Cricetulus griseus: one gene and its partners. The protein of the gene in region 3 interacts with the protein of the main gene of each other region in a biochemical or structural test. Links are inferred from orthologs where the notes say so. Each region holds a gene or a part of one and is shown on either strand. Other genes may lie near its edges.

Region 1 (4,300 bases), on a different chromosome or scaffold from region 3:
TTTGTTTGTTTATTTTTCGAGACAGAGTTTCTTTGTGAAATAGTCCTGGCAACTCATTCTGTAGACCAGACAGACTGTCCTCAAACTCACAGAGATCTGATTGCCCCTGCCTCCCAAGTAATGGTATTAAAGTGTGTACCATCAACTTCTGGTAGCAAATAATCTTTAAAAAGCCAGAAAGGCAGCTTTAAATAAGAAAGTTTCTTCCACAAGTTCCCCATACTTCCCTTCACATCTAAGCAGCCTAATCAACCACTGCCTAGGACAACAGAACTACAAAGACCTGTTGAGAGTTTATATTAATCAAGATCCACCCTGGATTTTGGAAGAGAATGACAAATTCCCGTTAGCAGGATGGTGGGAATGGTGATTAGATAGCCAGCACCCACTAGAATTCAAATGGTTGAGGTCTTTGCTAGAAATCAAGAGCAAAGGAACATCTATAGTTTCCTCACCAACACAGACAGTGGAATCACTAACAAAGGTCTATTAAGTGAGTAGTGAAGTATAACATATAGGCCCTGGGAGAGTATATGTAAAGAGGCAAAAGAGCAGACTCTGGGTAAAGACCGGCTATATGATAACCAGTACCCAATGGGCCTCGATTACTAGCCTTGCACTAGTTACCTAATCTTCTCAAAGCACCAATTCACTGTTGTAATGGAGATTACCCAAACTACCTAGGATTACACACTGTGATTAAATATATCCTTACTTTAGTTTGATCACTGAAGTTAAGCGGGAAGTCACCTGGCTTGATATACTAAAAATTCTTTCTGGGACTTTGGTCAGGTCTTGCTCTTGTGCTGAAGAACTTTCACATTCTAACAAGAAAAAAAAAAAAAAAAAAAAGATACCTCACTTAACACCCCCCCCCTTTTGTTTTTCTCAATACAGGGTTTCTCTATGTAGCCCTGGCTGTCCTGGAACTCACTCTGTAGACCAGGCTGGCCTTGAACTCAGAGATCCTCCTGCCTCTGAAGTGACAGTGTGTGCTACCACCTCCCGGCTCCACCTTAAATTTTAGAGGCTGATATGCAGTAAAATGTGGAAGAATCTCATTCCTGGAGGCTGTTTATTAGCTATGTTATCTTCTTTGAGATTGTTCTCAATCTGTAAAAATGAATCTAGATTACCTCTTGCCTTCCAGGGCTCCAGTTGCTCCTAGATCTTTCTTAAACTTTCTACAAGGTTCTGGAGGGGAAAGAACGGCTATTACTGAAGGTGGGGAAGAATGCCACGTTATTTATAGAGCTGGCTAGGCTCTGCACACTCCCTTTCTAGAGATGAGAAAGCTCAGAAACGGAGGGATACTGTTCTGTTGTACACTGTGCTAGACACCTTCTCTATGCAATTCTGTTTGTAAATTAAGTAAGAGGATGAGGTGTGAGAAGTGTCAGGCCAGTTCAGATTTGAAAATCACAGGCAGGGAAAATAATTTGTGTTCCCTTAGGATCAGGAATCATAAGAAATTTCAGAAGTGCATTGAGGTGCTTCTCTTAAAGTTGGTGGGGGTCAGCAATTCACCCTGAACCCTTTGAGTTTCATTCAGACTAAAGGTTTCAAACTGGACCCCTAACAAAATACCTTCACAACTTTATGTAGGGTTAAAACGGTCCCTTCCTTCCTTCAGCCCACCACTAGGGGGCCAAAGCATAAAAAGCAGTTAAATCCTAGAGCTCAGGAGTGATCACCCTGTTTTAATCACTGTGTGACCTTGGATAAGTTACTTTACCACTCTAAGCCTCAGTGTCCCCATCTGTAAAATAGGAACAACAACAGCAACCACTCCACTAGGTTGGAATTAGGCTAAACAAGACACATTAAGCGCTGACAACAATGTCTGCACATACAGATTAGCAAAGTTCTTACTTTACTGATGGCAATAAATTACCAGTGCTGGTTTTGTTTCTGAATTCAAAGACTTCACCATCGTACTCTTTTGGGCAGGGGCCTTCGTATCCAGAGTCCTCTTTTTTAAAAAAAGATCAACAGGTCTCTCTTTTCCTGCTAACCAACCAGAGTTGGTCCAGAAACCTCCAATCTCTGGCCTGCCTATGCCAAGAAGTCTTGGCGTTGGGCTCTCTAAACACTACGAAGCCTGTCACCGAGGCAAGCCGAACTGGGGCATTTTCCCGGCCTTCCAAGGCCCGGGCTGCGCTGGACCCGGCCTGCCCTTGGTTACCGGTCGGGAGCCGGCCTGCCCCGCGCCTCCTCTCCAGGGGCTCTCCCCGCTACGTGGGCAGGTAGGGCTTCACCTCGCTCCGGAGCGCGTCGGCCCAGTGCCCGCGGGGACGGGCTCCCCGTGGCGGCGGCCGGGCCTGCCGCCCGAGCCCGCTCCCAGCTCCCCGGCAGGCAGGCAGGCAGGCAGGCAGGCTGGCGCAGGGCGAGGGCAGGGCCCTGCCTTCCCCCGCGGACGCGCGAGCTCGGGCCCGAGGCCACCACGTGGGGACACCGGGGGCGCCGGGCATCCGGAACCAGCCCCGGGAGCGGCTCCCCGTGCGGCCCTGCGCCGGCCCTGCACTGGCCTGAGGGGCACTCCCGACCCGATTTCTCCTCCCGTACCTATCGGGACGCTTCCGACATCTCCTTCAGACGAGAGACAGGCCCTCGCAGACCCCGATCCCCAAGACCTCAGCCCGAGCACCCATCTGCGAGCTGCCTCACTCACCCATCGCGGCTCCGCTCGCTCAGACTTGGCGGCGGCCGCAGCTGTGGCTTCAGCGGCAGCTTCGGCAGACAATATGGCGGACCTGCAGGACGGCGGCCTGACAGGGACAAACATTTTATACCGTACTAAACGCGTTCTCAACCCTCACGCCCCTTTCCCTCCTGGAGATGACAGGGTGAGCAGGCGTTTAAAGAAGAAGGCAGCTGGGCGTTGGTGGTTTAATCCCAGCACTCGGGAGGCAGAGGCAGGTGGATCTCTGTGAATTCGAGGCCAGCCTTGTCTATAGAGAGTTCCAGGACAGCCTCCAAAGACAGAGAAATCCTGTCTCGAAAAACCAAGGAAAAAAAACAAACAACAAAAAAACAAAAAACCTAAAATAAGGCCCCAGAAGGCAGCCACTCCAGGTGTCAATCAGGGAAGGAATAGACAGGCTTAAGGGGACTACAAAGAATATATACTGAACAATGTACCAAGTTCTCAACTTTTCCTGTTTTTATTTCTTCTTTATGGTGAGGCCTCCTTTCCCAGAAAGACACCCCTTCTTTTTATAATTAAGGCCATATAGAACTGAATAAGGATCGTCTAGAGAGGGGAAGTGACTTGTTCAAGGCTATGGAGATAAGGAAAAGGAGTCAAGATTAGACTGGAGTTTGTTTCTCATTTTTGTTCACTGGAGACAGGGTTTCACTATATGCCTCTGGGTGACCTGTACCTCTCTATAGACCAGGCAGACAGCAGACTCAGAGTCACCTACCTGTGCCTCTCAAGCACTGGGATGAAAGGCTCCAGACCTTTATTTTATTTTGTTTGTGTGAGACAGGGTTGGGGGTGTCCCAGGCTGTCCTCTGATAAGTAGATAAGGATGACTTTGAACTCCAGATCTCCTGCTTCCACCTCCCAGTGTTGAGCTCACAGGTGTGCACTATCGCACCAAGAGGAGTTTAAAAGATTCTCCAGCGAGAGGGTGTGTGTGTGTGTGTGTGTGTGTGTGTTTGGCAGAGTACACTAACCTCACGAGTTAGAGTAAGGGTCAGTTCTGTATTGCTTAACACCATGGCCACCACCTGGGTTATGACTACTGAATGAATAAAGAAAAAAGAAATTCACAAGTTAGTGAGCTCCCTTTCCTAGCGATGAGGAAATTAAAGCTTTTGCCTTCTGAATCAAGGAATGCTGGGCTGATACCTAGTGCCACACACAGAGCTGGGGTTATGGCCAATCTTTAGTCTCCATCTTTTGTAAGGAGAAAGAAGACTCTTGTATCTGGACCTTAGGGCCTATCACAAATTGCCAAGTCTACCCAAATGCCTGGCCAATGAAGGGAAAAAACTCAACAGGAGGAAAAGAAATACTCAAGTAAAATGTATCATGCTAACTTGACTCCTTACCTCACACATCTCCAGGCCCAATTGTCCCCCCCCCCCCGCCCCATCTGCTTTAAAACCATAGACATTAAGTACCAGAGAAATGGCAGCAGGTAAAAGTACTTACTGCACAAGCCTGATGACCCACCAGAGCTGGGCCCTGGACTTTCTGGTACACAGGGGTTTCCAACCCTTGAAACTTGTACATTGTCTCTACACACGTTCTGTGACACAAAAATACCTGCTTGTGCATACACATACACAA
Region 2 (4,087 bases), on a different chromosome or scaffold from region 3:
AGATTTGTGTGTGCTCTGGTGTAGATTTGTTTCCGTGTGTGTGTGTGTGTGTGTGTGTGTGTGTGTGTGTGTGTGTGTGTGTGTGTAAACCTGTGTGCCACTGTGGTTTTTTTTGTGTGTGTGTGCAACCGGGACTCCTGCTCATACTCGCTGGTGTGTATCTCCTTGTGCCCTGAAGTCTTTATATGGGCTTTTGGGGACAGGTGTAGCCCCTCGGGACAGCTTCAGCCGCTCTCCCCAAATGTCAGCAACCCATTGATTGCCCACCTGGTAGGCCCAGGAGTTGGTGGAAGGGGTGGGGCGTTCAAGTAACCCTATCCACATCGCCCCCCAGGAACAGTGGCATCGATGGTATGTGCGTTGCCTGTGCGAAGCTCTGGATTCAGTTCCCTCTACTGCATAAACAAACAAAAAAAATCTGCCTGGACTACAGAGGAGCCCGTTTTTTTTTCGAATGTCTGCCCCAGGTGGCTTTAATGTGACTCCCACGTTGCCCTGAGGGAGCAGCCGCGGCGGAGAGGGGGTCATGCAAATAGTACACATTTGCTCGTTTGTTCCATCCGACTTGGCTTCTCTTGAGGACATCCGGTACTCGCCGTTATTTCATTTTATTTTTATTTTTTAAAGTGCTTATGTAAATTACTGACGTAGGAATTTACAGACACTTTCCAGCTAAGTGCGCAGCCGTTTCTCAGTGTCCCCCAGGGCTGCGTGGAGGCGCTGCCTATGTAAATGACACATTTGCATAGCAGACTCCGGCACTTTCTCGGTGAAGCGCCGTCTTTGCACCCCCCCCCCGTCCCCCGCCCCGATTCCAAGGCGCCGTCTTATTTTTTTTTTTAAATTTTATTTATTATGTATACAACATTCTGCTTTCATGTATATCTGCACACCAGAAGAGGGCACCGGATCTCATAACAGATGGTTGTGAGCCACCATGTGGTTGCTGGGAATTGAACTCAGGACCTCTGGAAAAGCAGTCGGTGCTCTTAACCTCTGAGCCATCTCTCCAGCCCCGGCGCCGTCTTATTAAAAAAAAAAAAAAAGAAAATCCACAGAACTCCTTTTACCCCCGGAGTCCGCTGCGTTCCTGCTTTCGGCGTGGAAGGGGCGGGGCGCGGAGATGCAAATGAGCCTGGCGGCCCCGCCCCAGCTCCCTCCGCTCCCGTGCGGGGGGGGGGTTGTGTGTGGTGGTGGTGGTGTCGCGCACGCGCAGTCTGCTCGGCCGGGGCCGCGGTCACGTGCCCGCGGGGCGAGGCGGGGGCGGGGCGTCGCGGGGGCGGGGCGGGGCGTCGCGGGCCGTGGGGGGCGGGGTATGGCGCGCTGCGAGGCGCAGGGCGGCTGGCACAAACGGCGGCGCCGAGGCCGGAGGAAAAAGCTCGGTGAGGAGGTGGCGGTGCGAGAGGGAAGGACCCGGGGAGGGAGGGAGAAGGAGCCCGAGATCGGGCCGGCCCGGGCGGACGGGCGGGCGGGAAGCAGGAAGCGGGCGGCGGCGGGCGGCGGCGGCGGCGGCGCGACCCTGCGCGGGCGGTGCGGGTGCGGGTGCGGGGTGGGGGTGGGGAAGGAGAGGCGCGCGCCCGGCGCGGCGGGGCGGGGCGGGGAGGGGCGGGGCGAGCCATTGAGGACGGCGGGGGCGCGCGGCGGCCACCGAGGGGAGGGCAGGGCAGGGGAGGGGCCGGGCCGCCGCCGCGGAGGGGGTTGGGAGGGAGGCCGTCGGGTCTGACCCTCCTCCCGGCCTCCCTTCCGTCAGTCCGTCTGTCCGGCAGGACCTCCCTTCCGTCCGGGTGTGTGTCGGGCCCCGGCAGGCTCTCCTCCCGCGGGGGCACGGGCCGACCCCAGCGGTCCTCCCGCCCCCCCCCCAGCCGTTCTCTTTGTCCCTGGACCCCCCCCTCCCCGCCGCTTCTCCCCGCCCGGCCCGCGGGGCCCGTGGCCCTTCCTTTCCACCCAAGCGATCTGGTCCCCGCAAACGTGCGAGCTGGCACCCTCGATCCCCCGTCCCCGTTTTCTGTGTCCTTCTCCCCATCTGTCCCGAGTGTGTCTATGGAGCCCTCGGGCAGGTACCCCCCCCCCAACGCCCTCCGTTGCTCACTGTTGCTCCTCTTCTTCCTCAGATCTCTTGGATCGTATCTGTAGCCTGATCGCCTTCCTCTCTCTCTGTGGGCCCTCCTCGCAGCGTTTCCCCCTCTGCACTTTCTCTGTCTTACTCTGTCCGCCTGCCATCCCCCTCTCTCAGATTCCCAAGTTCTGCGCCCCCCCCCAAACCCCAGTGTCGCTGAGGCCTCAGCGCGTGTGTGTTATGTGTTTGCTGTGGGCCCTGTGTTATGTCCTTCCTGCTGGCACCATCCCCGCCCCTTCCCACCTGCTTGTCCCTAACTCCTCTTAAGTCCTTTTTTTTTTTTCTCCCTCCTCTCTCCCTTCCAGCCACCCTCACCAGTCCCTCCTGGAGCTCTTAGGGACAACTGTGAAGTTGGGGACCAGCGAGGAGCATCCCCGGGGCACCAGAGGAGCCCCTGCTGCCTGCCCTGCCTCACCCTGCCCCTTGCCAGGCCCGGCGGCCCCCGGCTGCATCCAGTGGAGGAGGAGGAGGAGGCGGAGGAGGGTGGCACCATGGGCCCGGGCCGTGCCCTCCATGCCCGGGGGATGAAGACACTGCTACCATGGACAGCCCGTGTCAGCCGCAGGCCCTGAATCAGTCTCTCCCTCAGTTGCCGGGGTCTGTGTCAGAGTCCTTGGAGCCTAGCCGAGCCAGAATGGGGGTGGAGAGCTACCTGCCCTGCCCTCTGCTACCCTCCTACCACCGCCCAGGAGCATCGGGTGAGGCCTCGGCTGGCAACGGGACTCCCAGGACCACAGCCACAGCCGCAGCTACCACTACCACCGCCAGTCCCCTTCGGGAGGGCTTCGGTGGGCAGGATGGCGGTGAGCTGTGGCCACTGCAGAGTGAAGGTGCTGCTGCTCTGGTCACCAAGGAGTGCCAGCGACTGGCGGCCCAGGGTGCCCGGCCTGAGGCCCCCAAACGGAAGTGGGCCAAGGATGGTGGGGATGCCCCTTTACCCAGCAAGCGGCCGTGGGCCAGGCAAGAGAACCAGGAAGCCAAGGGGGAAGGTGGTGTGGGCTGTGACAGCGTTGGCAGCGGCAGTGGCAACAGCAACAACAACACTACCAGTAGCAGTGGCGAGGCAAGTGCTAGGCTGAGGGAGGAGGCCCCACCCTCTGCACCGGAGCGCCTGGCCCTGGACTATATTGTGCCTTGCATGCGGTACTACGGTATCTGCGTCAAGGACAACTTCTTGGGGGCGACACTGGGTGGCCGCGTGCTGGCCGAGGTGGAGGCCCTGAAGCGGGGCGGGCGCCTGCGCGATGGGCAGCTAGTGAGCCAGCGGGCGATCCCACCGCGCAGCATTCGTGGGGACCAGATTGCCTGGGTAGAAGGCCACGAGCCAGGCTGCAGGAGCATTGGTGCCCTCATGGCCCATGTGGACACGGTAATCCGCCACTGTGCGGGCCGGCTGGGCAGCTACGTCATCAACGGGCGCACCAAGGTAAGGCACTTTTTTGGTGAGTGCCTCGTGCTTTGGCGTGTGGGTTTGGAAGCAAGTTTCTGGGGTTGTGTAGAACACCATGGGCAGCTCCACCGGAGGGTCTACAGTTACCTGCCTGTGGGGACCTGCGTGTCTTCCTCCCACTGGACTTTGAGTTTTGTACCTGCAAAGTAGTTGAGCCTAGATGGCAGTGGTCCTTGCCCTCGGGAGATCAAGAGCGGCTGACTCGTCTTAACCTTAGACCGAGGGTGGTTGAGGTTGGCGGGAGTGTGTTCTTGTCTGCTGGCCCGCAGATGGCAGACCCAGGAGGGAAGGGTGGCAGTGTTGAGGTAGCCTAGGCTGAAGATGGGGTTTGGCTTGTCTGCTTGAGCACCTGGCCTGGGCGACATTCTGCCCTGTGAGCCTACTCTTGGCATCTGCACCAAGAGCTGCTTCCTGGAGGTGACACTGGATGCCAGTGTGCTGGTCCAGGTAGAGCCCTTGTCCACATCCTCCCCACTCCTCCCTGCCCTAGTCCCTGTTGTGCGCCCTCTGACCGTTGGTCA
Region 3 (3,500 bases):
CCAAGGTAATGATCAGATTATGCCAATTTCTTATTAGAAATGCATCAGTTGTTTCTTGTAGGATTGTAGATGGGAAGATTTTTATTTATCAAAAGATGCTGTACATTCTGGATGTGGTGGTTTATGTCTGTGATCTCAAAACACTTGGGAGGCTGAGACAGGGAAGTCACCAAAAGTTCAAAGCCAGCCTGGACTACATACGGACTCCAGTCTAGTCAGGACTTTGTAGTCTGTCTGTGTCTCAAAAAAAAGAAAGAAAGAAAAAGTGTGCAATTAAATCTAAATATAATAAAATGACAAGCAAGTTATTTACCAGAAGATTGCCCACAGGTTAGGTTTTCTCATTGTGTTTTCATGTCTAGAATTACACCAGAAACATGAATGTTTAATTAAAAAGTATTTCATTATGTTGGAATTTTATTTACGTGTGTAAAACTATGTAAGAGCAATTCAAATAATTTTTAGGGCTAGATGCACCTCCACACTCAGCGGTAGCATGTGTGAGTGCATGTATGTGGGTTCATGTGGGTCACAGCACAAAGGTAGAGGACAGAGGACAGTTTGTGGGAGTTCATTCTCACCTTCCACCACGTGGGTTCCAGAAACTGAATTCACGCTGCCAAGTTTGGTAGCAGGTGCCTTACCTGATGGCCCATTTTAATGGTCCTGGATGCTAGAAATGTGATGTAAAGGTTTTCTTAAAATTGGGCAAATTTTTTTCTGTGTCTTGATTCTGAGGTGGTATAGAGCAAGAAATTCTTAGCAAACATTTAAAACTGAAAACTAGTACAAATCACCAGCTCCAAATCACCAGCACCAAGATGGGGTAGGGAGGACCTTTGTCTAGCATTGTGAGCCCCCATATCAGGGTTCTCAACCAGTGAGTCATGTCCCTTTTGACAGTTGACAGGCCCTTTCACAGGGGGCCCAAGACCATTGGAAAACACAGATGTTTACATTATGATTCAGAACAGTAGCAAAATTAGTTATAAAGTAACAATGAAAATAATTTTATGATTGGGGGTCACCACAACATGAGGGATTGTGTTAGAGAGTCTCAGCAGTAGGAAGGTTGAGAATCACTGCTCTAGATTTAATCCCTACTACCATTCTGGGATGAAGGAGAAAACACATATTTTTAAAGTATATTTTATTTATCTTTGTAATGCTGCCATCTAGTGTTGGTGTATTTTGGTTATCCCTTTTTGAAGAGTCAAAGTTTGATTTATGCTTCAATAAATCTGCTTTGTTGGTTTTAGAGTAAATGGCAGATCTTAAACTGTAACAGCTAAGCTATATTATTTAACATACTGTTATGAACAAAGATACCTTCCTTATGCCCATTCTGTAATTAGGTGTTTGCTTTTTAGACATATGAGTATCTTTTACCTGCACCTTGGTTTTTTTGTTTGTTGGCTTTTTTTAAGTCCTCTGGAATCTAAACTGAGAAGTGTCAACACTTGGTTCATGTTTGTTCCCAGAAAGACTTCAGTGAAAAATGTTTGTAATTGGTTTAATGTGACGAGGACAGACTTGTCTTTCTCATAAAATGGGTCCTCATGGTTTCCAGGCTGATACCCAGGGACCAGGAGGCTCCCTGAATCCGTTTTCAGCCCTTTTTCTTTTAGATGCCGTTCTTTCATGTGAAATCCTCTTAATTTTAGAAAATTAATATTTACTTTCCATTTAGTATGGATGTCCTTGGCTTAATAGTGAAATTTTATAGTTGATATTAAAGTGAGGCCTTGCCACAGGCCTAAAAATAGGGTAAAGATTTTCACTGAATGAAAAATAAACTGCTATAGATTTATACTGTATTTTAAGATAATTGTGACTGTCTTTGGAACTTTTGTCATTTCATTTAGCATCATTAAGATTTACTAATATACCCTGCTTTGATACCAACAGTGTGTATAATGAAATGTGTTTTAAAAAATAGGTCATGAGTTTGGGTAAAAGGGATAAGTCAGATATCAGGGACTGATCTAAGTGACTTTATACTAAGTACAGAATTTGGGGTTTTTTTGTTTGGTTTGTTTTGCCGGGGGGGGGGGGGGGGGATGGGGTGTTTTTTGGTTTTGTTGTTTGGTTTTTTGTTTGTTTTCTGAGACAGGGTATCTCTGTATAGCCCTGATGTCCAGGAACTCTGTCAGTAAACCAGGCTGGCCTCAAGTTCACAGAGATCCACCTGTTTCTGCTTCCAGAGTGCTGGGATTAAAGGAATCCACTGCCCAGCCAAAGTATAGAATAGTTAAGTGTGAGTTCTAAACTTATTAAGCAAAAGATAATCTTTTTTTTTTTTAAACAGAATTACTGAGTTGATGGGTTATGAGCCAGAAGAACTTTTGGGACGCTCAATTTATGAATATTATCATGCTTTGGACTCTGATCATCTGACCAAAACTCATCATGACAGTAAGTACAGTAGAGGAACTCAAGGAAATAGTGTCATTGCTTAAGTCCTGCAGTCTGTACTGTACCTCTACTTTCTAGTTAAAATTACCACCCAGTCTCCTTAGACAAGCATCCTACAGCCCCTTCATAAGATGTCTTGATAATGAAATTATTGTTTTGTTACAAATATTAGCAAAAAGTAAAGTCATTTAATAATAAATACATAAAGTATCCCATAAAAGTCAAATATTATAGATTATCTAGCCTACGTACATATGTACTGAAATCAGTGGTTGGTCAATAGGAGGTAGTCACAAAGCATTTGTTCATGAACTAGTGAGTAGGATTAGTATACACATGTGATAACTGACACCCTTGACATATAGGAGGTTTCTGAATTTTACTCAAATAAATCTATGATACCAAACTAAGTTAAACTTCATAATTCCTCACTTGCCTATTTAATCTGGACCTAAACATGACTTCCCAATATGATTGAGGGTACTGAGTTGAGTATCATTGAATTAGTGTAATTTGCCTTGAACTACAGAGTATGCCTAAGTTGTAGTCAGAGCATGGATACTCACAACGGCATCATCATGATTGATTTACTACATTCTCTTAAGTCAGTAATTAATTTAGACTGCATGAATTGACAGAAGGCTATAGTATGACATGAACTTATATATTCAAATGTTCTGAGTATAATTTTTTACAGTGATTGGTTCTCTGGTGCTTAAAAAAACTGGTACCATTTTCTTTCTTTTTTTTTTTCTTAAAAAGAATTTATTTAACTATTTTATGTGCATTGATGTGAGATCTCCTGGAACTGGAGTTATAGACAGTTGTAAACTGCCATGTAGGTGCTGGGAATTGAACTCAGGACTTCTGGAAGAACAGCCAGTGCTTTTAACCACAGAGCCACCTGGCCAGCCCCTTTTTTTATTTTTGAGACAGGGTTTCTATGTAGCTTTGTAGACCAGGCTGGCCTCGAACTCACAGAGATCTGCTTGCCTCTGCCTCCTGAGTGCTGAGACTAAAGAGGTGCACCACCACTACCCAGCTCCATTTTCTTAAATGTACCCTGTGATCAGTCTCTAGTCTGA
Region 4 (3,500 bases), on a different chromosome or scaffold from region 3:
GAGGCAGAGGCAGGCGGATCTCTGTGAGTTCGAGACCAGCCTGGTCTACAAGAGCAAGTGCCAGGATAGCCTCCAAAGCTACACAGAGAAACCCTGTCTTGAAAAAGCTGGAACACAAAGGCAGGGCTTCATTTGTCTAGTGTCAACCAGAAACACAGATGACTGAGAACTCAAAACTACTACTGCTCTGTACACAGCTGTGGGTCACTAAAAGTACCAGGGGTATTGTTTTAAGATTGCAAATCATTTTTAAAGACTAGACACGCTTGCAAATCTGTGTGGGTAAAATAATATGATCGACTGCAGATGAGAAGCAAGCATTGCTGCAGGTAAAAATCTGTAGTGTTTTCCAATTTGTTCACAAAAGCAGTGTAGACTGTGTTGAAGAGGAAAAGCACTAAAGACCTGTCTGAAACTTCATCCAAGCTCAGGGTGTAAGTCTCTGGAAATCTGTCTGAAAGCACATTTTAGTTGCAATTTGACAGTCCTTCTATATGGTTTTTGAAAATCTGTCACTGCTTTTCAAAGAACTAATTCTGCTGTTTTAAAGGAAGAATCGTGTTCGTCCTAGAGTTTTGTTTTTTTCAGAATTCTATGATAACTGCAACAAACATGCATGTCTAGCACTAAAGTCCTTCACATTTACGAGGTTTTCCCACAGATTAAAAAGTGTTGCAAATGTTTCCCTCAACAGAAGTTATTAAAAAAAAAACAGCATCAAAGATGATGTATTACTGAGAAATGTCCCATTTTCCTCCATAACTAATTTCAAGAAAATTAGAGTATATGAGCACTAGAATCAGATGTCTTGACAAAGGAAAATGTAAGTATTCTGTATACTCTGATTTTACATGCAAATAAAGCATAAGCTCTGGGTACATTCCAGAGTCCTGCCAATGTGAAAGGGGAGTAGGACCAAGGTGACTTGGTTCTAGGCAAGGCGAACGTTGGTGTGCGTGTCTGCAGAGGTACAGGGAAAATCCGTGGCTTGCTGCTCCCTGCCACATTATGTCTGCTGATTGTACATCGAGGATAAAGCCATGGTGGACTGGTTAACTTTTTGCCAACTCGACACTACGTAGAGTTATCTGTGCAAAGGGAACCTCTTCCTGTTGGCAAGTAGGCTCTGAGGCATTTTCTTGATTAACAATCAACGTGGGAGGACCCAGCCTAATGTGGGGAGTGTCACCCCTGGACAGGTAGTTCTGGGTTATGAAGCCGGCCTAGCAAGACACGGAGAGCAAGGCAGGAAGCTGCACTCTTCCCTAGCTCTGCTTGAGCTCCTGCCTCAGGTTCCTGCCCTTACGTCCCTTCTTGCTTGACTGTAAGCAGTAAGATGAAATAAACCCTTTGCTCTACAAGTTGTTTTTGATCATGGTGTTTATCAGAGCAATAGAAAGCAAACTAAACCAGATGGAATGAGTGAATGGGATTGGAAAATCCACCTCGAGAAACATTCCTACATTTGACAGAACACTTGCACTTTTCTCTCCCCACCTGGCCACTGATTGGTATATATGGTGAGTGTTCAGTCTGAAGCCATCTAGTCTCCACCTGATAACTGGCTGGCCAGCCCAGGACATGTGGGGCTCTCACTTTGTCAAACACTTTGGGTGCTGTGCTATGAATAAACGACTCAGAATGTGCCCTGTGTCTCCCTGTAGCTGCGGTCTGTGGTTAAATGAGTCTCACTAAGATGGCCTGGACACTTCCACATACTGAGTCTGATGTTGGGGCTGAAATGAATCATACATTTTGATCATGTGCTTATAGCAGGCTCATAGACCCCAGCAGAAACACTCAACGACAGGCCAATGGTTCTCCATGACCAGATGAGGGGAAGTCATCAGGAACCTGCTGAAGCACAAGCAGCGTGCCAAGGACGGGCAGCAGAGAGGTGGGCTGGGCGCAGCACCTCAGGGTGCTAACACCCATGCTGAAACTCTAGGCCTCCCCAGTGCTCCAGGAGGCAGACAGCCCATTCCATGACAGTGGCCTTCGTGGATGCTTACCACTGATGGGGTTGGTGCACCCAGCACACTTCTTGGCGTACAACTCACAGAAACAGGTCAGGCAGTAGGGAAACTCATCCCTTGCTGTGAAGCGTTGCCCAGACAGCTGCTTCTTGCAGGCAGTGCACACAAAGCACTCCTTGTGCCAGGGCTGCTCCCGGTAAGTGACACCTCCTGTGGTGATGGGCTGGGAGAGGGGAGAAACAAATGCAAGAGTCAGGGCGGCTACTATTTCTGGTAGGCATCTGTCACCACTGTTGCCAGTGGATGACGCATGATGCCCTCAACCCCCTGTAAACGTCCAGTTTGTTGAAGTGGTAAAGGAACCTCAAACCTCAGGCACCTCATGTTACCCTCCATACCACTAATGTGGCTCCTGGCTTTCTCCCTAGTGCCAATGGGTCTTTAGGTATCACTAGTGCAGGGGAACAGAAGGCATGGGTGTTATGGGGCATTGTCACCTTCCCAAACACAAAGGTGATGCAGAGGTGCAGTCACGATCAGAGATAACATTGAGGACATCGATGCCTTCTTCTGAGCATCCCTGTAGCTGAAGAGTCAAGGCACAAGACCTCAGCGCTATGACGTTGCACTGATGAAGATGTGGACAAATCTCTGTGGAAGCCTTCTCTCAAATACCAGCAAGTGGTGACCTCTCCAGCTTTATTCTCATGCCCAGCCTGGACAGTAACTACAAGGGCAGGACAGGAGAGGCTTAAAGACATTTGGAATTGGCACCTACTGGTGTGGGCTAAAGGGACCTGCATCCTGGGAACCTTTATCCTCACCCTGTCTTACAGACACAGGTTTTCGAAGATGGTGCAAAGTGTTAAACAGCTCGCCATCCCTCAACTGCATCTAATTACCTTGAAATACTGCTTTTCGTGGGAATTGGAAGCATGTATGAAGAGTGGGGTCAGAAATCGGGGGAGTCTGAATAGGTCTCAGCTTGACAGGCGGTGGTGAAAGAAGCAGGAAAAAAAAAAAAAAGGAAATACTCCAGACCACATCTTTTTTGTTTTGTTTTGTTTTGTTTTGTTGTTGTTGTTTTCCTTTTTGAACAGTGTGGCAGCATTCGGCAGTTTCTGGGGTCCTTGTATGATGCTTGTGCAGCAAGATGCTGTTTCTAAGCTGCAGAAGAATCAACTGAGACCCAGGTATTGTCCAAGAATGAAGTCATAGCTGGTTAATGACAAGGCAAGAAGAATCGAGACTCCCTTCTATCCTGCTCTCTTGTCATTAAACCATACATTAAAGATCATTTGCCGGTCACTCCCCTATCCCAGGAATGGAATTTAAGGAAAATAAATTCTATGTTACGTGTTCTGTGTCCTCCATGCTCTGTGGAGATACAGGAGGCACGTATATGTGAGGTGGTATTTATTCTGCCTGGAGGTCCTTGCTCTGTGCCCTGGATCTCACATCCACTGTCTCCTAAACCCTACACTCCCCCATCTCCATCTCTCTTCACCCCTTCTATTCTCCCCC
Region 5 (3,500 bases), about 19 Mb from region 3:
CTCTACACTCTGCCTGGCCCACAGTGCTTGCTGGGAGACAAGGGAGAGTTGGAGGTAGAAGCATACATAAATATTTTTATCAGAGCTTTCTAGGTTAAGATTAGACAATTCTAAGGTGTTCAGTGACTCTAATGATCTGTATAGCCATGTGCTAAGGAGGAGGAAGGAAGGAGGAAGGAAAGAAAGAAGGGAGGGAGGGAGGGAGGGAGGGGGAAGGAAAGACAGAAGGAAGGACGGAGGGAGGGAGGAAGGAGGAAGGAAAGAAAGAAGGAAGGACAGAGGGAGGGAGGAAGGAAAGGAGGAAGGAAGAAGGGAGGAAGGGAGAGAGGGAGGGAGGGAGGGAGGGAGGGAGGGAGGGAGGGGGGGGGAAGGGAGGAAGGAGAATTTTAAAACATTCAGTTGTAGGTCTGTGATGTAGCTCAGTTAGTTGATAGAGTGCTTGCATAGTGTGCGTAATACCCTAGCATCACAAAAACCCTGTGCAACGCACATGCCTGGAATCCCAGCACTTAGGAGGTAAAAACAGGAGGATCAGAAACTCAAGGTCACCCTCTGCTACATGGTGAGTTCCAGGCCAGCCTGATGTGAGACCTTGTCTCAAAAATGAACGGATGGACAGACGGAGCAAGCAAACTATAGTATCCAATTGTGACGGCACCGATAAAGTTAGCCCAGGCAAACAGAGAGAATAGAAAGGAAATGAATTCAGAACAAATTATTCTTTCCTTTCCCAAGGTTCTTTCTTTGCTTAAACTGACAAACTAGAAATTCACTTGAAGGAGCAGAACTTTTGAAATGTGATAATCAGGATTAGTTCAACATTGGGTTTTTGTTGCTACTGTTTTCTCCTTGACATTTCTGAGCCTAGGTCTCATTTAGCTCATGCTGTCTTGAACTCTCAATCCTCCTGCTTACATCTCTGACTGCTGGTGTAACAGGAGTGTACCCATGCAACTTTAGGGTTTTTTTTCCCCCATAAGGGGAAGGAGGAAGGAACAGAAGGAAAGGGAAATGCATTCTAAGGAACTGAGACCAGTATGCACAAGTCACAGTTAATAGTTACTATAAACTGAAACCTAAAGAGCCCCTTCAATTTCTATCATTCCAAACAGGCTGAGCTGTCAGTTTTGGGGTGTGACCAGCACTTCTTAGTATAGGACATGAGTTCTAAGAGTTCTCCAGGAACTGGGATCCCACACATGGGATCCCTGCAAGAGGGACTGTGGCCCCGGCTCTTACCTGGTAGCATAGGAGGGCTGAACTTCATGTGGGTTCCTGCGGTCTGACCAGAAGAACAGGAGTCTGTCAAAAATGGGCTCCACGTCTGCTACGAATGATTTCCCTTCTGGAAATATCCGCAATACCCCTCCATGTAACTGAAGACCAAGAAGAGGAAGCGTTATCTCCTGGTCTCACATAAAGTTTATCAGCAAGGATGTGTTAGCGCTATCAAAGAGAAATGCCACCTCTACCTCAACTTTAAGTGGGTTTTACTCCCCAAATGTTCACTCCACTTATACTTTGTAGTTAAACTTACGTCAACTTGACACAGCTTAGCTATCTACAGTTCCTCATCCACTTCAGACCAGCATCTTCCCACTCCCATAGCCATGAAGCCCACAGACATAAAATAGCAGACAGTCATCACACAAAACTGTCCATGTCAGAATGCTTCAACCCAAAAAAGCAAGCAGACAAATCCTAAGCAATTTCCTAGCTCCATCAAATATTGTCTAAACATTCATCACAGACAGCTGCCCCTGCAATAACAACTTAGAGCATTTCTCTGAGTTCTTCAAATGCCCATCTGACCTCATTGACTGAACCCTTCCCTGAACTCTCTCACCTCACTGCCTATACATTTTAGGACATCTGTCACTCTCTTCGCCTCCTTTTTCTTTTTCAGATGTACAATCTATTTGTCCTACTGGAACAATCATCTTCTGGGCGGAAACCAGGCTTCATACATCATTGTTTCTACATAACACACATCTAGCGCTGGCAGAAACTCAAACATTTGTTGGTTTTATTCTTCCTCGTTTATTATTGTTGGTCTAATAACTCTGCTCACCATAGCATCCCAAGAGATATTTTTAAGCCCTTAAAGGAACTGTTCCAGTCTTGCTACCAAATAGAGGAGAGATACAATGTTACATACATGACCACAGTCAGAGTGTGCACTAAGGAACAGCCAACAGAGATGCACAGAATCCAAAAGCTAAACAAACTTCTAAAGTTCTCTGAATTTCCCACACTCCTAAGTCATTCTTAACTTTCAGAGAGCACATAAGGGACAAACCATGTCTATCCAGTCCATCTCTACCACCTACCATACAAAAACCAGCCACACAACCTCTGTCATTCACAAGCTACAAAGAATGGCTCCCTATGGGACATACCATCCCGAGAAAGAGGACTGTGTGGGAAATCTTTCTCGGGGACAGTTTGCTATCCCACAGTTCTGCCTTTGTGGAATTCTCTCAATGTTGCTGCTGGGGGGCAGGGAAGGTGTACATTACATGCTGAGCTAAGACTCACATCAGCTCTGCATCCCAATGTTAAATTACCTACCTCATTAACCCCTGACCTTCACAATCACCATACCCCCCCTCTCACCAAACTAACTTTATAGCCACTGTCTTTAATCTCAGCAACTTTGGAACTAATTCCACAAGTGGAAGCAAGGTAAAAAATAGCACAGTGGAGACAATTAGAAACTATAACTCCCCTAAACATACCTGAATGTTTTATCTAATTGAAAATGGCTTGCTCCTCTCAGTGCACCCCTACCTGCACTGTTTATGGCATATATAACCCACTCCAACCCCTCCCCCATTATTCCACAGTACCTTGGCATCCCAATTCTTATTCAGGTAGTAGATACAGGTGATACAGCGGCCATCACCATTGGGGTTATCCACATGGCGGACATAACCTGTTCCATTTCCTGGATAGCAAGCCACCATTGCCTGTGGAGACATCCGAAGGATTCTGTTTAGAAAATCTTAAATAATAGCTTCACCATGCAGCAGGCATATACGGCACATAAATTCGGATCACTATCAGAATACAGAATTAGCATGAGGTAACCTTTGGTATGAAAGCTTAGCAGGCAGTCCATGCCTTAGGACTAGGTGCAGGGTAAATAGTCAGTAATATTTCCATGTCCTAAAACATTGAAAACCTTCTAAAGAAACCCATCTACATCATCAACAAGATGGCTTCCTTTCTTTAACATTCCTTTTTGAAAAAGCATGTCCCAAATTTCCATCTAACCCCACAGGATCAGAATGCCGAGATATGAGGGGCGGACATAGTGGATACACGCATGTACTTTCAATACTCAGATGCTGAAGCAGGAAGGTGGGGAGTGAGATGTCTGGCCTACACAGAGAGACTTTCTCTAAAAGGAAGGAAAGAAGAGAGGGGGGGGGAGGTAAAAGAAAGGCTCTTTGGTGTGGGGCTATGGAACTATGCTTGTTTAGCAATGCCCTGAATTG
Region 6 (4,166 bases), about 51 Mb from region 3:
TCCCCTGTCCATAGACCTGCTCAGGCTTGGTACTGTCTCTCCCTTCCTGAGCCCTGGATTCTGTCCCCTGCACTAGCTGTCCCCTTTTCCTCCTAGCCCCATTTCCACGTATTAGGCATTAATCTTGCTTAGCCTCAGGAGTTTCTCATCACTGAAGGCACTTGTCTTTGCTCTGTAGCAGGGACCTGAGGCAATTTCATGTGTGTTGAACTTGCTAGCTGTGGATGGAAGCCAGGGACATCAAGTGAGTTCATGGTGCCTTGTTAATCTCAAGTACTGAAGGGCGAAACCTAGAGGACCTCTCACAGACTGTGGAGATCAGAGGTACTGTCTACCGTAGACATCCATACTACAGGGGTCCATGGCAATGGCCAAAACGGAAGCCTGGATAGGAGCCCCATCCCAGTAACAGAGGTCTGACACTGAGAGACAGAGAGGCTGGTCTACACCTGGGAATCTGAGACTGCCAGCCCAGCTCACAACTCCCTACTACTTGACTTGTCCTTGGCACTTGGCTTTGAGACACCTAGGCTACAATGTCACTCAAAATGATGGGGCTGACACAGCTCCCATGTGCTGGGCCAGTGGACACCCTCTGGTGGCTGCTCACTGCAGCTGGGATACTCCTCTACAAACCTGTTTGTTCATGTCCAAGTCTGTGTAACTGAAATGTGTAAATGAGAGCCTGTTGGTCCACACCTATAGTAGCTGGTAGAGTTCCAGCTACCCAACCTACTATCTTGCCTATTGACAACTGTGGCCAGAGCCAACCATGGGGCACCTGTCTAGGATCTGGTCCCAGTGAGTACATCAGAGGAAACACTAGTGCCCACCTAGGCCATGACAGGCCTCAGGTCTCTAGAAGCTACCTGTATGCTCGGACCAATTCATCTTCCCAAAACATCCCCAGATGTGTGCACAAGCACACACGTGTGTGCACACACACGCACGCTCATACAGAGCTTATCCCCGGCTGTAGAAGACGCTGCTGTAGCAGCACACCGCCTTGGCACAGCCTGGCAACATGGGTTCCAAGGAGCTGGTAAGGCCAGACCTAGAAGCTGGGGCTACACCTAAGCCTCCATCTAGAGCCACCTGCAGGGCTGGTCCGGTCTCAACATGGCCACCTGCGGGGTAGCATCCAACCTTGCCCTCTCTGTCCCATTTGATCCCAAGAATCCCAAGCCACCATTCCAACAAGCCTGAGTCTAGGAGAGCAGCCCTTCTCACTGGTCTATGGTACTCAAGAAGGCTATGGAGGCCCTGTCACCACCCAGCCTGGCAGGAAAGAGTGTCTACAAAGACACAGGTCTGGGAATTTGGTCGGTCCTGCTCTCTGCCTGGCACTAGAGGAAGCAGAGCAGGGATAGGCCTGCCTACCCCAGCCTCTAATCACGTGGGACTTTAGAGCCAAGAGTGGGCAGGCCACATTTGAGGCTCACAGTAGGGATATGGCCATGAGATCCTTGAGACCCAGAAGGGACAAGAAGGTTCCTGGTATGCTTGCTATGTGACTGTGCTGACCTGAGACCACCTCACTCTCCAAAGAGCCAAAAGGTCACTCCAAGCAGAGTAGAATGGAGCCGAGTTTTTGGAATCCATGCATCCATTTCTCCACACTCCTAGCCACCACCCTAGGTGGTGTGTGACTATCCCAGGGTTCTAGCAATGGAACAACCATGCCCCCAGACCAAGGATTCAGTGTCTGCCAAGGATTCCCAGCAGACACAAACTATGGCAGAAGCAGCGACTGGGGTAAGACACCAATAGGACCCCAGGGTATAAATACTGCACACACCCTCAACACTGTAATGGACAGAGTAGACAACTTTGCAGTGTTCATGGTAGTCCTATAGCCAGGAAGCCACCTAGGCTAATGGAAATGGGAAGAGAATGAGGAGAGAGAGAGTGTGGATGAGTGGCACAGAGGGCCACTGCCCTTGGTCTGTGACTAGTCTCCAGAACCATCCAGATCCCTCTGAGTCCTGATGTGCTCAAGTCCATGAGGGAACCTGCCTTAGACAGACCAGTACTTGTTGGGAGATGGGGTGCCGGAACTGGTGACGCCTCAAGGTAGCCCCACGTTTGTCCTCAAGAAGCCTAGGCAGGCTGGGCGGTGGTGGGACACTCCTCTATCCCAGCACTCGGGAGGCAGAGGCAGGCAGATCTCTGTGAGTTCGAGGCCAGCCTGGTCTACAGGGTGAGTTTCAGGACAGGCTCCAAAGCTACAGAGAAATCCTACCTTGAAAAAAACAAAACAAATAAACAAAGCAAGCCTAGGCATGGGCTGGAGAAATGACTCAGTGGTTAGGAGCATGGGATGTTCTTCCAGGGTTTGTTTTAGATTCCCAGCACCCACATGGCAGCTCACAATAACTCTACCCAGTTCCAGGGGATCCAATACCTTCTTCCAGCCTCCTTAAGCATGGATATACACGCAGACAAAACACCCACACACATCAAAAAAATAAAATTAAAAAAAAAAAAAAAAAAAAGAAGCCTAGACATGGCCACAGGGACTCACTCCCAGCCTCCCCTGGAAGGACATCAAAACCCAGGTAGGAAGACCCTGCCCACCCACAACAGGGAGGCTCCACCCCTCCCTGCCAGGGTCAGGCAGCAGCATCACTGTGTCGAGCTCTTACCTTATTGAGCTCTTCAATCCTGCGGATCAGGTACGGGTTGCTGGAGGAGTTCTCAAAGTAGACATAGTCTGCAACAGAGAGGTCATCATGCATAGCACCAGGGCTCTAAGCCATCCCCACCATTCTCAGAATCCCTAAGAACTGGCTGTGAGCCTCAAGCAGACCCTCTAAGCCCTAGTCCCACTCTGCTAGGGGTCAGAGGGCTGGGGAATAGAGGAGGCAAAGCCTCTTCTATTGGATGGACAGAACCCATCCAGAGGGGTGCTGGGCCAGATCACAGCTGGTGATGGGATTGAGGGGCTGTCCTGGGATTGGCCTGCAGTCCTCAAACATCCAATGTTAGCTGCCTTCAGGAGCACAAGGCTTAGTGGGAAGGCTGGGGGGGGGGGACTAACTTCAGCTTCCCCATAAAGCCCAATTCCAAATATCCCGAGGCCCCTGCTCAAAACTACTGGACAACGCTCCAAGTAGCTGCTGCAGGCAAGAACAGTGTGTCTACCATTCGCCACCACAGGCCAGGCTCCACAGATAGACACGGAGACTTTCAAAGCTGGCAGACCCAGCCTGGACAGCTCAGATCACCCTACTACCACAATGCTCCAGCAGTCCCAGGGCAGACGGTATGCTGGACTGTCTACTGCCAGGCTGGCAGAAGTCCTTGGCACTGAACCCCTCCTTAGTGGAGCTGACTGGAAGGTTCCTCCTATTGAAATGGGCAGAGGCAGCAACTGCAGTTCTCTGTCCCCATGTGGGCATGCACTTGCAGGCCTGTCACTGCGTTGCTTCCTGAGCCTGTGCCACCCAGCAGCAGGCCAGCCACAACCTTACAACTCCAGCAGTTAGTGCACAGAGGTTCACACCAGGGTGAAGGGTCACCTGGAAAAGCAAGGCCCACAGGAAGGAAAGTGTACGGTAACAGTACTGGAACAATCTCTGGGCTTAGATTTGGGACTCTCCTGGGGCCCCTGTGAAAACACCCTGATGAATTCCATCAATGTGGATCATTTCTTAATAAAACTAGTTTTTTTTTTGTTTTTTTTTTTTTTAAAGGCATCCAAAAGCACTGGTGGTTCAGTGGTAGAATTCTGCCTGCCGCACGGGAGGCCCCAGGTTCAATTCCCAGCCAATGCAGAAATGTACTTTGAGTTGGGCGGTGGTGGTGCACACCTTTGATCCCAGCATTCAGGAGGCAGAGGCAGGTGGATCTCTGTGAGTTTGAGGCCAGCCTGGTCTACAGAGTGAGTACCAGACAGCCAGAGCTATATGGAAAAATCCTATCTCAAAAAACAAAAAAATTTTAAAAGGAAAAAGATATCTACAATCTAAACTTCCATGATCACAAATCAAATTAAGGCCCAAACCCCAAATTATTCATACTTGCCAAAAACTGAAATAAAATCCAATGTCTCCCAAGTAGAGAACAAGCAAACAAGCAGAGATGAGAGGCACACAGATATCCTGGAGCAGGGGATGGTGGGCACTGGTCTGGGGTGGGGTGCACCAGGACAGGAGGGCTCACTC
Region 7 (4,214 bases), on a different chromosome or scaffold from region 3:
TGGCAGCTCACCTGGCCCCTCTCCTGCAGGCCTCCCCTGTGTACAACTTCAGTTTGCCCCGGAGAAAGTTGGAGTAGACCCGGAAGAGTTTGCAGAAAGTATCCACCGAGAGTGTTCGGAGTGGAGCAGGTGGGGTAGCATCTGGAGGTAATATCGATTCCTTCTGTCAAGAGAAAATAGGATATCACTGCAGTGCTGAGGACTGCAGATGAAAACGTGACAAAGGACAGGTGGGGGGTGAAGAGAGTCCTCAGTATTATTTGTGTGGGGGTGTATGTGTGTATGTGCGTGTGTGTGGGTGTAGAGGCCAGAGGTGTGTCTTCTTCAGCCACTCTCCACTGGCTGGATGTGTGTAGGTGCCAGGAGCTCGGATCCCCTAGAGCTGGACTTCAAGGTGGCTGTGAGTACCTGGTGTGGATGCTGGGAACTGAACTCTGGAAGGGCAGCAAGCACTCTTCATCATGGAGCCATCTCTCCAGCCCTTCCGCCTTAGTTTTTGAGACAGCATCTCTCACTGAACCTGGAGCCCACCAACTGAGTAGAACTGGCTGGCCAGTGAGTCCCAGGAATCTCCCGGCCCTGGGGTTCCATGTGTGCTCCACCTCACTTTGTTTTTGGTTTGATTTGTTTTGTTTTGTTAACAGAAATCCTGGAGATTGAACTCAACGTTTGTGCACCATGCACGCCACCACTACATCGCCCAGCCTGTGCTCTCAGTGTCCTTTGTTTAAAATGTGTTGTTACATCGATTCATTCATATATGCATGCACACCACAGCCTGTGTGTGGGTGGAGGTGAGAGACAAGCTGGAGGAAACCAGTTCTCTTCTCACTGTGTGACTTCTAGGGATATTAAATTCAGGGCATCTCACTTGGTGGCAGGCACCTTTACCCACTGAGCTATCTTGCAGGCTCAGCCCTCAGTTCTTTAACAACTCTTGGCCCACCCTGTAGAAAGGGCAAGTAACAGTCCACACCTACTCACCTGGGCTCCCAGCACCCGGAGCAGGGAGGTGAGGCTGCGCAGGCCACTGATGGCTTTGTCTATATGCAGCTGAAGCATCTCTGATGGTTGGGAGGAGTTGCCTAGCAGGGCCTGGCCCCTCAGGATGGCCTCGGAGAGCAGGGACAGGCCATGCCAAACTTCTACAGCCTGTTCTTCCACCTAGAGGAGGCAAAGGGTTTAGAAAGAGCCAGCCAGAGTCCTTCCCTCTGTCTCCCTGGCTATCAGACACCCTAGCGGAGGTGGACAGGACAGAACAGCACACAGTAAGGCATGGATGGATGGATGGATGGATGGATGGATGGATGGATGGATGGATGAGCTAGCATATTCCATCAGTCATTATCTTTATCATTCTTTCTCCCACACTATCAAGGTGTCAGACTGAGACCCACCTCTAGGAAGGAGAAAAAAAGAAAAGAGAACTCACCGCCTTTCTTTTCCAAGCATAGAAGTTGACTTTGGTATCTGGGACTGTAATATTCTCACTCAGTCTGGGACCTTCTGCACAGCCCATCTGCAAGACACAGCACCTGGTCAAGACCTCCAAAGGTTTCATTCACAAAAAGCCACCAGATACTCTTTGTCTTTGAATGTTACTGGGCATGCTTTGGGTGCCACCAGCTTTATCATGCTTTCTTGTTTTGGACAGTCAGAGTTTCAAGTTTGAGGCTGGACTCAGCTTATGTAACAGAGGATCACCTTGAATTTCTGATCCTCCTACTCCATCTCCCAAGTACTAGGCATGTAGGTTTGGGCCATCACAAAGTCTCGGCTCCTGTGGTGCTGGGGAATTGAGCCCAGGGCTTCTTTCACACTAAGCAAGCACTCTACCAAACTGAGCCACAACCCTCTCCAGCATTATCACTGGGGGAAGGGGGATGGAAGAGCTTTAGGGCTAAACATCTCATCTTGACCTGAAAAGCCGTGCTAGGAAGGAACTCAAATTCCTAGCTCCCCAAGAACCAGTTTCTTTCTTTTGTGGGGCCGGGAAGCTTACCGTGACGTTCTCTGCCTCCTTGGCCTCCAAGATGTACCTCTCCAGAACTCGGCTGTCGCAGATGAGGCGTGGGGGAGCGCAGAGGACTGGGAGGCCCAGAGGAAGCAAGAGCAAAGACAGCAAAAGCGGCAGGGTGGGACGTTCTGGAAGAAAGGCGGGCTGGGTGTGAGGCAGGGAGGGGTGGGGGCTGCGGGACTCCAGAGGCTGGTTTGCTCAGCGAGGCTCCTCTGCCTTCTAGTCTCGGCTGACCCCGACCTTGCAATTGCTTAGGCTCTGCCGGAGTGGCCTTCATTCTATCTCTCGGCGCTGCACACCCCACCCCCCAAGCGACCGGCATCCACTTCTCGGCCAAACTTCACTGTAAGTGCGCGCCAGAGGCTGGCAGATCCTGAGAAGCTGGGACTCCTGGACGCAGGTAATTCTTTTAGCAGCTTCTCATCCACGGAGCAGCGCCTCGACTCCCTAAAATCCTAAACTTTGTCCCCGTCCTGGATCTCCCCTTTTTTGTCATTTGCGGGAGGGCTCCCCAAACCCCTGAGTGCACGTGGAAGCTACCCCACCCCCCTCTCTCCTCCTAGATCCTTGGCGAGTCGCAGGTCCTTGTACACGGTCACTTCCTGGCCAACAGCTTCAGATGTAAATCCTTGCTCAAACAGGAGCCCCGGAGGTCACAGGTCCCTAGCCTGTGAGTACTCACCGGGCACCCCCATCTCCGCGCCTGGCTGCCAGAGCCCCTTAGTGACCCGGGGCTGGGCCAGTGTCCACGCTGCTAGTCTTCATCCTTAGAAGATCTGTGGGACCAGGTCACCCCACTCGCCTGAAAGAAGGTGGTCACCGTTCAGGGAGCGCGGGCAGAGCGGGGACGCGGTGGCCCTGGCCACTGGTCTGTTCGGGAACACAGCAAGACGCAGCCACTGGCCAGGCTTGGTCCGGGGACATGTGGCTCCGGTCGGGGGTCGGGGATGTTATCAGCATGTGTGCGTGCGCGGGTGGGGGTGGGGGTGAGGCTGTGTGTGCATGAGGGGTCGCCAGGGGTGGGGGCCACCTGGGGTCAGAGCAAGGAGCAGGACGCCTGGGTCTGGGGCTCGCTGGGGTGGCGAGGGCTGTTCCAGGCACGCACGCTGTCAGGGGGGTCTTCCTTAGGCGGGTGGACAGATTCTGATTTCCAGGAGGGGAGCTCAGTGGGGTGCACGTCTATGAGATGTGCGGGAAACCTAAAGTGAGGAGCTGACCTATGGAAAGGCTGGGCATGTCCTCTGGGGGGCGTCCTTATCTCGGGACAGGGATTGATCAGAAACACCTAGAGTTGGAGACTGGAAGCAAAACCCAAGGGCTTTCTCTCCTCACGACTTGCTCTAAAAGCCAGAGCTGTTCCTGTTGAGGAATCAGATGCAAGCGAGGGAGGACTGTGGGGTTCCTCCCCTCTCACCCCTCGTTTTCTAGGACCCTAAAAATCCAGAAAGGTGACTTTCAGGGCAGGAAGCCTGTGGCACGTTGCTGAGGACACGTGGGCACGTTGCTACTGGGTTTTTGCTTTTGTTTTTGCAGTGCTGAGGCCCGAGCCCTGGGGCCTGTACATTAGGCAAATGCTCGGTTAAATGAGCTCCCATGCCCTTATTGAGGGACTTGAGGCAAGCTCTCTACCGCTGAGCCACACCCCCAGCCCCTCACTGGGGAAGTCTTGGCAGGAGCTCTACTGCTGAGCTACACCCCTGTAGCCCCTAGGTTCTATTCCCAGCATCCATATGATGGTTCACAACCATCCATAACCCCAGTTCCAAGGAACCTGATGCCCTCTTCTGACCTCTGAGGGTACCAGGCACACACATATTACACACACATATGTGCAGGCAAAACACCCTCACATAAAACAAAATATATAAATCTGATCTTAAAATGTAAAGATAAAAGAAATGTTTGTGGAATATATACTGCTGACTGGGAAGGGACCTGAGGACTGAGTCATGTATGACACAGTTAAGAATGCCTGCCCTGGTGACATTCTAGTGGGGAGAGATGGACAACGGACAGAGACCTTCAGTGGCATTAAGAACTGAGTGGAGGAGGCTGGAGAGATGACTAGCAGTTAAGAGCACCCGCTGTGTTGTAGAGGAGCCAGGTTCAGTTGATAACAACCTTGTGGCAACTAATAACTATGTGTAACTCTAGATTGAAAGCATCGATGCCTCCTTCTGGACTCTGCAGGTACTCT

What was found.
Region 1: the proteins of Hif1a (region 3) and Kpna6 form a complex in vitro, tested with the Homo sapiens proteins (2 studies listed by BioGRID). The link is inferred for Cricetulus griseus from reciprocal best matches to the Homo sapiens genes HIF1A and KPNA6.
Region 2: the proteins of Hif1a (region 3) and Egln2 form a complex in vitro, tested with the Homo sapiens proteins (3 studies listed by BioGRID, with this or other methods). The link is inferred for Cricetulus griseus from reciprocal best matches to the Homo sapiens genes HIF1A and EGLN2.
Region 4: the proteins of Hif1a (region 3) and Fhl2 form a complex in vitro, tested with the Homo sapiens proteins (2 studies listed by BioGRID). The link is inferred for Cricetulus griseus from reciprocal best matches to the Homo sapiens genes HIF1A and FHL2.
Region 5: the proteins of Hif1a (region 3) and Egln3 form a complex in vitro, tested with the Homo sapiens proteins (5 studies listed by BioGRID, with this or other methods). The link is inferred for Cricetulus griseus from reciprocal best matches to the Homo sapiens genes HIF1A and EGLN3.
Region 6: the proteins of Hif1a (region 3) and Mta1 form a complex in vitro, tested with the Homo sapiens proteins (2 studies listed by BioGRID). The link is inferred for Cricetulus griseus from reciprocal best matches to the Homo sapiens genes HIF1A and MTA1.
Region 7: the proteins of Hif1a (region 3) and Epo form a complex in vitro, tested with the Homo sapiens proteins (2 studies listed by BioGRID). The link is inferred for Cricetulus griseus from reciprocal best matches to the Homo sapiens genes HIF1A and EPO.

What each region holds. Positions count from the first base shown.
Region 1 is NC_048595.1:23,348,937-23,353,236, reverse strand, and holds the start of Kpna6 (importin subunit alpha-7), read right to left. Parts: upstream 2,801-4,300; 5' UTR 2,786-2,800; coding exon 2,566-2,785; intron 1-2,565. UniProt on the Homo sapiens protein: Functions in nuclear protein import as an adapter protein for nuclear receptor KPNB1. Binds specifically and directly to substrates containing either a simple or bipartite NLS motif.
Region 2 is NC_048602.1:8,757,270-8,761,356, forward strand, and holds the start of Egln2 (prolyl hydroxylase EGLN2), read left to right. Parts: upstream 1-1,287; 5' UTR 1,288-1,382; intron 1,383-1,651; exon of another isoform or gene 1,652-1,784; intron 1,785-2,421; 5' UTR 2,422-2,657; coding exon 2,658-3,542; intron 3,543-4,087. UniProt on the Homo sapiens protein: Prolyl hydroxylase that mediates hydroxylation of proline residues in target proteins, such as ATF4, IKBKB, CEP192 and HIF1A. Target proteins are preferentially recognized via a LXXLAP motif.
Region 3 is NC_048598.1:129,464,591-129,468,090, reverse strand, and holds part of Hif1a (hypoxia-inducible factor 1-alpha), read left to right. Parts: intron 1-2,308; coding exon 2,309-2,415; intron 2,416-3,500.
Region 4 is NW_023276807.1:5,371,111-5,374,610, reverse strand, and holds part of Fhl2 (four and a half LIM domains protein 2), read right to left. Parts: intron 2,200-3,500; coding exon 2,013-2,199; intron 1-2,012. UniProt on the Homo sapiens protein: May function as a molecular transmitter linking various signaling pathways to transcriptional regulation. Negatively regulates the transcriptional repressor E4F1 and may function in cell growth.
Region 5 is NC_048598.1:148,126,438-148,129,937, reverse strand, and holds part of Egln3 (prolyl hydroxylase EGLN3), read right to left. Parts: intron 2,970-3,500; coding exon 2,850-2,969; intron 1,377-2,849; coding exon 1,240-1,376; intron 1-1,239. UniProt on the Homo sapiens protein: Prolyl hydroxylase that mediates hydroxylation of proline residues in target proteins, such as PKM, TELO2, ATF4 and HIF1A. Target proteins are preferentially recognized via a LXXLAP motif.
Region 6 is NC_048598.1:180,939,068-180,943,233, forward strand, and holds the start of Mta1 (metastasis-associated protein MTA1), read right to left. Parts: upstream 2,801-4,166; 5' UTR 2,739-2,800; coding exon 2,646-2,738; intron 1-2,645. UniProt on the Homo sapiens protein: Transcriptional coregulator which can act as both a transcriptional corepressor and coactivator. Acts as a component of the histone deacetylase NuRD complex which participates in the remodeling of chromatin.
Region 7 is NC_048597.1:116,408,862-116,413,075, forward strand, and holds the start of Epo (erythropoietin), read right to left. Parts: upstream 2,801-4,214; 5' UTR 2,713-2,800; coding exon 2,700-2,712; intron 2,146-2,699; coding exon 2,003-2,145; intron 1,520-2,002; coding exon 1,433-1,519; intron 1,165-1,432; coding exon 985-1,164; intron 164-984; coding exon 8-163; 3' UTR 1-7. UniProt on the Homo sapiens protein: Hormone involved in the regulation of erythrocyte proliferation and differentiation and the maintenance of a physiological level of circulating erythrocyte mass.